Linked DNA regions of Rattus norvegicus. The protein of the gene in region 2 purifies or fractionates together with the protein of the main gene of each other region. This does not show direct contact. Links are inferred from orthologs where the notes say so. Each region holds a gene or a part of one and is shown on either strand. Other genes may lie near its edges.

Region 1 (3,648 bases), on a different chromosome or scaffold from region 2:
GGCATTTCCTTGATCACGATTGACGTGGGAGGCCCAGACCACAGTGCAGCATGCCACCCCTGAGCACGTGGTCCTGGGCTCTATAAAATGCACAGATCGAAGCGCGAAAAGCAGGCCAGGAAGCAGTACTCTCCCCGGTCTCTACTTCAGTTTCTGCCTCCAGGTTCCTGCTCTGACTTCCCTTAAAGATAGACCTTGATGTGGAAGTCTAAGAACCTACACTTCTTTCCTCACTTCTAGAACTAAGCAGGCACCTCCATTCTCAGCACACAACACTGGATTCCCTGCACTCAGTGGGAGGAACACTTAAGTGACAGGGCAGGAGAGTAGGAAGGCGTCTGGTTGCAGCTCTGCCGTTTACTTGCAACAGCTCTCTTGTTTTTCTTGCTCTTGGCCCCAGTGGGGGACTGTGACTTGTCTTACTGTGCCGAATTTAATTGATGTCTCTGGGAGGGAGGCCTACTCTTCTCTCGGCAGAGACTCATTGGAGAGTGGGATCTAGGGGAGAGGGTAAGAAGGGGTGGGACTGGGAGGAGTGGAAGGGGAAGCTATGGATGGGATGTATTGTATGAGAGAAGAGAAAATTTAAAAAAAGAGTATGTTAGGCTAAAAGCCTTGTAAGATTCGTCTAGAAACCATTACAGAATATTCCAGGGCAGTGAGGACACTTCTGTTCTAGTCCACTGTGCAGGCCAGCAGTAGCTGCTATATCCACTCTTCCTCCAGTGCTTATGTGTGACTACTCCAAGAGTCTTCCCGTGGTTCTTAACTTCTTTTATTTTTTGGGGGGTGGGGGTGGGGGTGGGGGTGTATTTATTTAGAACACGTCTTACTTTGTAGCCCAGGCTGGCCTTCAACTTGCTTTCCTCCTGCCTCAGCCTCCTGAATGCTGGGATCACAGGTATAGACAACTATGCTGGGTTGTTCTTGACATTATCTGGAACCCTCTTGGTGGCTGGCTGCTGTGCCCCCGTTCTGTGGTGTGGTGACTCAGAAGCACACAGACAGAGGGCTGCCGAAGCCTGATTCGCCTCAGGGAGAGGAGGGAATGGCACCACATTCTTACCAAACAGCTCGATATAGACTTCCTGAAGTGTATGGACGCTGCAGAACTGGTTAAGCTCATGATGAATCTTGTTGAAGATGAGGGCCTTGTCATAGTCTGCAGTATAGTTCTTCACTATATCATACACTGTGGAGAAGGAGAGGGCTCAGCATAAGAAAAGCCGAGTCTTCACACTTCTCAGAACCTTCTCAGTTCTCGTGGGACCCAGACATATGGTGTGTGGACACGTGACAAGACATACCTGCATGTGGGACCAGGAAGTTCACCACTTCAATTCTGTCAAAGTAGATCATCACACCACCACTATTGGAGGGAGAAGCGACAAAGATGTTACCAGGGCGCTGGAATCTGGTGAACTCTCCTAAGGAGATGACTTAAGACATGTGAGTGAACAGGAGGAGGACAGTGTTTGTGGAATGTGAGGCGGCTCATGCCTCTGAGCAGGTGTGCAGGACTTCTGACCTGCACGAGGAAACAGTAAGACCTCTGCAATGTCAGGAAAGCAAGGGTAGTTCCTATCTTCTGAGCCACTAGTATCTTCTGACAAAGCAAATGATAAGTTTTCAGAGTGCACTGGGTGCCTGAAGCTTGTCTCTCATCCGGGCTTCACTCCAGTCTGCTTTTCCCTCACATTGTCTCTCACTGTGGCCACCAGTCTCTCCTCGCTTACCGGCTACGGTTCACCATCCTTATTCTGGTACTTTACCTGGTTCCGCATGGTACGTTCTTCACTTCATCCGTTTGGAGAGTGGTCTGGAGACAGAGGAAACAACTAATGTAAAATGGGCAGCGACAAGGGGGCCCCCTACTATTTGGAAGGCCCAAAGCTTCTGTCATCATAACTGGTGGCTTGATCAGATTGAGCTTTGCTCTTGCTAAACATGACTACTGTCCCAACTAGTACCCTATACAGGCTGTAACCTGAAACCAAGCAAAAGTGACTACGCCTGTGTCACTGTATGTGAAGCACATATGGACGGGCAGGATCATTAAAAACAAAATAAAGACAGTGTGGAGCCTGAAGGGCGTACTTTACTAGTGCTGAAGCAGGAGGCTCCTTTAGAGCTGTTTCAGAATGTAGTACCTGGTCAGCATCTCTGTGAGACTCAGGTAAGAAAAAGCTACCCAAAGTACTGTGAAGTCCACACAGCAAGGCAAAGGGAAGAAACTCGCAAGGGAAGATGAGTGTTCTGCTGGGTTAACTCAATTTTCTCTCTTTCACTCTTTTGTGCTGGGAATTGAGCTCAGGGCCTGGTGTAAGCTAGCGTCTACCTCTGTGTGACATTTCCCAGTCCCTTGCTGGGTTGCCTTAAAAGTTTCTTAGTTGGATACACTTTTTATATATAATTTATTTGTATTATTATTTACACCGCTGTTTCGCCTGCACATGTAAGAGAATACGATGATCAGCTAGAACAGGCGTCACAGACATCAATGAGCTGTGAGCTGCCTTGTGGATGTGGGAATTGAACCAGGCTCCTCTGGAAGAGCAGACAGTGTTCTTCACCGCTGAGCCATCTCTCCAGCCCCATCTTAGCTGGATATACTTTAGTCTACCTCAGTCAGGAGGAGGTCGGCTACAACTTATCTTACTCTAATTTACATGGCATTGGCCCTTACCCAACCAACTTTCCTCCCCATGAAATTATATTTACAGTTTTGAATTTCAAACAAGTACAAGCAAAATTCCATGTTTTATTTCGGTCATGGTAACCTGTGATTTAATATGCACACCCACTTGACTTTATTTCTAAAAATTCATAGAAAAAAATTCTTTTTTAGCCCCACCTCAAAAGTGAGTAATTTCCACTTGGGGCTGACAAAGTGAGGCAATGGGTTCATTCAGCATTTCAATGATCAAGTGATATGGTGTAGGAGCCTCTGTCTCTCTGTCTGTCTCTCTGTCTGTCTCTGTCTCTCTGTCTCTCTCTCTCTCTGTGTGTGTGTGTGTGAGAGAGAGAGAGAGAGAGAGAGAGAGAGAGAGAGGCCTTAAGTCAGTCACTGAAAAGGCATTATGTCTAACTAACCTCACATTGTGCATTAGTCAACAACCCAGATTTGTAATGATCCAGCCATACCACACAAGCCACTTGTACCTGTACAGACTTGTAGGATGTGATGAACGGGAGCATGAGATGGAAACCTGGGCCACTGGTGGAGGTCAGCAGGGCACCACCTCTGTAGAGGAGGGAGAAAGGCAAGAAAGGCAGGTTCAGAATTTCAAGAGAGGGCCATTAGACCAGTCGTTCTCAAACTGTGGGTCGCAACCCCTTTGGGGCCAAACAACTCTTTCACAGGGGTCACTTAAGACAGAGACATTTACATTACACTTCATAACAGTTGCAAGATTTGCAGATATAAGGTAGTAAGGAACATAACTGTATGGTTGGGCTCATCACAACACGGGAAACTATTAAAGGGTCACAGCATTAGGAGGGTTGAGAGCCACTGCCTACAACAAGACTTATGGACCGCCCATCTCCATTCCTATAAAGATTTATGGTAGAATGACATGTTTACCCTTCCCCCTCTCTTCTGTCTCAACAGTCTAGGAAACCTGATGGAAACAAAAGACCATCGGC
Region 2 (4,193 bases):
CATGGGCTGAGCTCTGTAGAACCATTTGTTTTCATAACAAGGACTGCTGTTAGTAGGTCTTTAGCGGTAGCAGACAGACCCCATTTAGGATGTTATGATATACTTTGGCGCACTCTCATATCCTGGCACCATGCCTGGCCTGGCACCCAGATGACACCGGGGAACGTTTGTGGAATGAATACTTGCAGTCTGGTTTGGGCGGGGTGGGGGGTGGGAGGTGGGATGCGGAGGGAGACAGTGGGATAACTTTGCCTGCGATTCAAACTCTTCTTTCAAAAGCCAAAGTTCTAAGCACTTTGCAGGCTGGAGCCTACACTTATTTGTGGTGTGTTGAAACCCATTTCAGCCCAGAGGCTTGGGTTGAAGACTTGCAGCACACCTCGCCTGGACGCACACATCTTAGTATAGCCGCTTTCTCTGAAGCCCTTATTTTTCTGGTTTGCGGTTTATTTACTTGAGCATTTACAGATTCCAGGAGCAAAGGGGTCCTAGAAGCGGGGTCAGGACCAGGTCGCGGTTTGTATTTCTTTCCTGCTTCGCGATCACAACATCAGCCAAGTCACAACATGGTTCCTTTATTTGCTCACTCGAAAGGGTTGCGTTCCTTTTACCTCCCACCGGGCGACGAAAGACAGACACAGCTCGGATTCAGAAAAGGGCTTTCACACGATTACCCCGCATCCTCGATAGCAGGGACCACCTCATTGCCAGACTTTTCATGCAGACACTAGCAGGATCCAATAAAGAACTGGAACAGATTTAATAAAGACAAACTTGCTTCTTTAATCCTTGACCGCAAAACACTGGCGTTTTTGTGCCTCGGATTTCTGAAATTCTTGGCTCCAGGACACAGGACGCGCGGGGGTGGGTAAACAGCTTGTAAAAACTTCCCAAAGTAGTAATCCGAGCTCTTCCTCTCTCTCTGGCCCCTAGTGACACCTGACTTTAGAAAAGGGACAGTCAAAAGAGAAGGGTTCACAGGGGTAAGGGACACCCTGTGGATCGGGCTTGCCAAACCTGGGGAGTTCGCTGCTTAGACACAGGTTCGCAGCCCCAGCCTTCCCGCTCGGCGCCCCTCCCCCGACCCTGGTCAGTGCGCGGGAGTCTATTTAGAACCCAGCCCCAGAGCCCAGGGCATTCTGGGACTTGTAGTCCTTCTGCGCAGCCCCAGGCGCCGGCAGGACCTGGGAATCGGACTACATTGCCCAGGGAGCTTCCGGGCCTATATAAGCGGCCGGGAGCTGCTTCAAAGTGCAGTAACCATGTGGATGTTCTGCTGAAGCGTTTCCTCAAGCCTGCCGGGGTGGGAGGAGAGGAGGAGGAGGTGGTGGTGGAGGAGGTGGAGGCAGGGGGTGGAGAGAGAGAAAGCGCACGCCGAGAGGAGGTGTGGGTGTTCCGCTCCCATCCTAACGGAACGAGCTCCCTCTTCGCGGACATGGGATTGCCCAGCGGCTGCTAACCCCTGTCCTGGTCCTGATCCCTCAAACCGGCGTGGCTCCCCGGTCACCAAGGTAGCTGCTGGGGCCGGGCAGAGGGCTCGGGGAGTTGGCACTGGCTCCCGTGCGCTGAAGTTTTTGCCCTGATCACTGGGAGTTCTTGGTGGCTTTGCATGCACTTATGCACTTGGCGTGTATTTTGGGGCTTCTTTCCCTGCGAGCAGTTTTGGGAGGCGGTCTGATTTTTTTTTTCAGGCTTAAGTAACCCCAAATGTCCTCGACTCTAGTGACCGGCTTCAACCTCCTTCCCCGTACTGAAATGGCATTCCCCCAAGTTGGAAACGGCTGGAGTGTTTGCAGGAAATAGTTTTCCCCCCTGGGGGGGTATTTGAGGGGGTGTCATATGAGTTTGCTCAAGGAAATAATCTTTCTAAAAATGTAGCTAGCCCTGTTGCGCTGCTTGGCTGGTAGGATAATGCATGCGTGGGGGCCCCCGTGGGTTTAAAAAAAAAGGAAGAAAACCGGAGGAAGCAGGGGCGGGAGCGATGAGAGAAGTGTGGACGGAGCTCGTGCCCAATGAGGACGCGGGTTTCACATACTTGGCCTCCACGCGGGGAAACAAGTGCTTTGGGATCTCAACACTTCCTTTCGTCCACAGTCTCTTCCCCCCACCCCCCCATCGTATTCGAAGTTTCTGCGTGCCTGATCTTTCTGGTCAGCTCCGGACGGGAAATAAGCATGCTGGGGTTGCTTTTATCTGGGGGCAAGAGATCCCTCCAACTTGACTGCTAAATTTGGAGGTGGGGAGTGGGATCTGCAGGAAAAGCGAACGGAGACTAAAAAAGTCGAAACCTGTCTTTGGGAACATTCTGATAGACCGTCGCAAGATCCCATACTCAGTCTTCTTTCTTTGTAAATATTTAGGAGCTGACTACAAAGGATTTGCATCCTTGGCTGGGAGTCCATTGGCTACAGAGTGCCTGACCTGGGTCAGGTGAGTGTGGGAGCTGAGTTCTGTAGTCAAGAATGTTTGTTTGTTTGTTTGTTTGTTTTGTCCTAAGCATTTTGTAACTCCGCTTGTAACGTACATAGAGGTAGAGTAGGGAAGAGAAAGAAACTGTGGTCAAAATTGGTCATGGTCTTGAGTAAAGATCCAGTGACAGCTACTTTTGAAGGTTGCTTAGAATCGAAGCATGGGGGTAAAGGGGTGGTGGGTAAGCAACAGCAACAAGCAGTAAATTGCGGTAGATTGTAAAGTGGGTGGTCCCTTACCAGCCTGAAAGGCACCCTCATTATTTAGACTCCCAAAGATGCAGAACTTTTCGTTTGCCAAGATCCCTAAGCAAAAGTGAGATACTCCTCCCTTTCACAAACTGTCACTTGGTTCTGTTCTGTCGTGGGCTTTCACCACGTAACCAGAGTGGGCTGGGTTGCAAGAAATGAAAGCGACAAATTGAAAGAATGAGAACTTAACAGGAAGTAAGAGCTTAAAGAATACCACTGTAGCTTCCAGGATTTCACAGGAGCCACCTGCATATCAAGGAACCCAGCGTGCTTCTCTTGCTTTGGTACCTGTTCCCGGATGAGGGGCTGAGGGCAGTGTTTCTGTCAATATAATGACATTTATCACAGCCCATTCCTAGAAAATAAAGCCTCTCTCTGTAGGTACACAGACGCCCCTATGGTTTCAGGTTTGTCTATCAAGTTTTTTCTTCTAAAATGTCTGGTAATTGAGTAAACAACAGGTTAATAGGAGTGGGGAGCTGTGGGCAGCTGGTCCTTGGTAACTTCTTTAATGTCCTAAATATTTAGCTGTTCCCTGGGCTACAATCTTTGGGCTTTTCTAATTAGTGAATGAAAGCCAGATACTTCATTATGGTAGCACAGTGCTTTTGTTTCCTGTTGATAAGGTCCTCAGGAGTACTGGTGGAGTGGGAAACATTTGGATGGGAAGGCTAGTTCTCCTATGGACTAATGTCTGTGTTGATCAAAGAGGGGTCAGTCTTCTCTTTGAAGTATGCTACAGACACCGTTAACTGGTCCACAGACTCTTCTCTATCTTTTGCCTAAAAATAATGAGGCTGTCCCATTAGGTTAGAGCAAGCCAGGTGCAAAGCTGTATATCACAGAAGACCTTAGATACGGGTGAAGAAACCGAGATTCAGAATGAAGTCACTGGGCAGCCCAGGCAGTAATGTGTACCACTTGTGCTTAAGTTTATGGGGAGAGAGAGAGAGAGATGCTAGGAAAAATAGTGAACCCATTGCTCTTAATGCCTTAACTCTGATTTATGTCTCACCAACAATGTACCAGCTATTTAGTTTGATGTAAGAAGGAAATGATACAGCCCTTGGCAGGGATAAAAGAATGTAGTTATTTGTAGGAGGATTTAATGTTGGGCTGAATTCATGTTAGAAAAGCTCTGTGTGTGTGTGTGTGTGTGTGTGTGTGTGTGTGTGTGTGTGTGTGTGTGTGTGTGTGTTTTGAAAGCTTGAATCAGGACAGTTAAGAAGGAAAACCAGAGGAAACCCAGTGTCTACGTGCAGTGTTAGTCCTGGCTCATAGTTGGAGTAGCTTTTGGTCATTCCCATCAAGGCACCTGAGCAGGTTGAAAGAGTCAGGTGTGTCTCTAGCTGAATAATTGGAAATCTTAAACTGCTTCAGTTCAACCTGTGGAATGTTGGTAGCTTGTCCTGTGGTCTCTGGTTTGCCTGGTTGCTAGTTGTATGCAGTGTTTTTCTTCTCCATTTCTTCTTC

Evidence for each region. The genes of interacting proteins can lie anywhere in the genome.
Region 1: the proteins of Itpr1 (region 2) and Erlin2 purify together in Homo sapiens (affinity purification with western blotting, with the first as the bait; 4 studies listed by BioGRID). This does not show direct contact. The link is inferred for Rattus norvegicus from reciprocal best matches to the Homo sapiens genes ITPR1 and ERLIN2.

Annotation. Positions count from the first base shown.
Region 1 is NC_086034.1:71,729,947-71,733,594, forward strand, and holds part of Erlin2 (erlin-2), read right to left. Parts: intron 3,245-3,648; coding exon 3,163-3,244; intron 1,820-3,162; coding exon 1,773-1,819; intron 1,370-1,772; coding exon 1,308-1,369; intron 1,193-1,307; coding exon 1,067-1,192; intron 1-1,066. UniProt on the Homo sapiens protein: Component of the ERLIN1/ERLIN2 complex which mediates the endoplasmic reticulum-associated degradation (ERAD) of inositol 1,4,5-trisphosphate receptors (IP3Rs) such as ITPR1.
Region 2 is NC_086022.1:142,742,081-142,746,273, forward strand, and holds the start of Itpr1 (inositol 1,4,5-trisphosphate receptor type 1), read left to right. Parts: upstream 1-1,359; 5' UTR 1,360-1,511; intron 1,512-2,360; 5' UTR 2,361-2,430; intron 2,431-4,193. UniProt on the Homo sapiens protein: Inositol 1,4,5-trisphosphate-gated calcium channel that, upon inositol 1,4,5-trisphosphate binding, mediates calcium release from the endoplasmic reticulum (ER).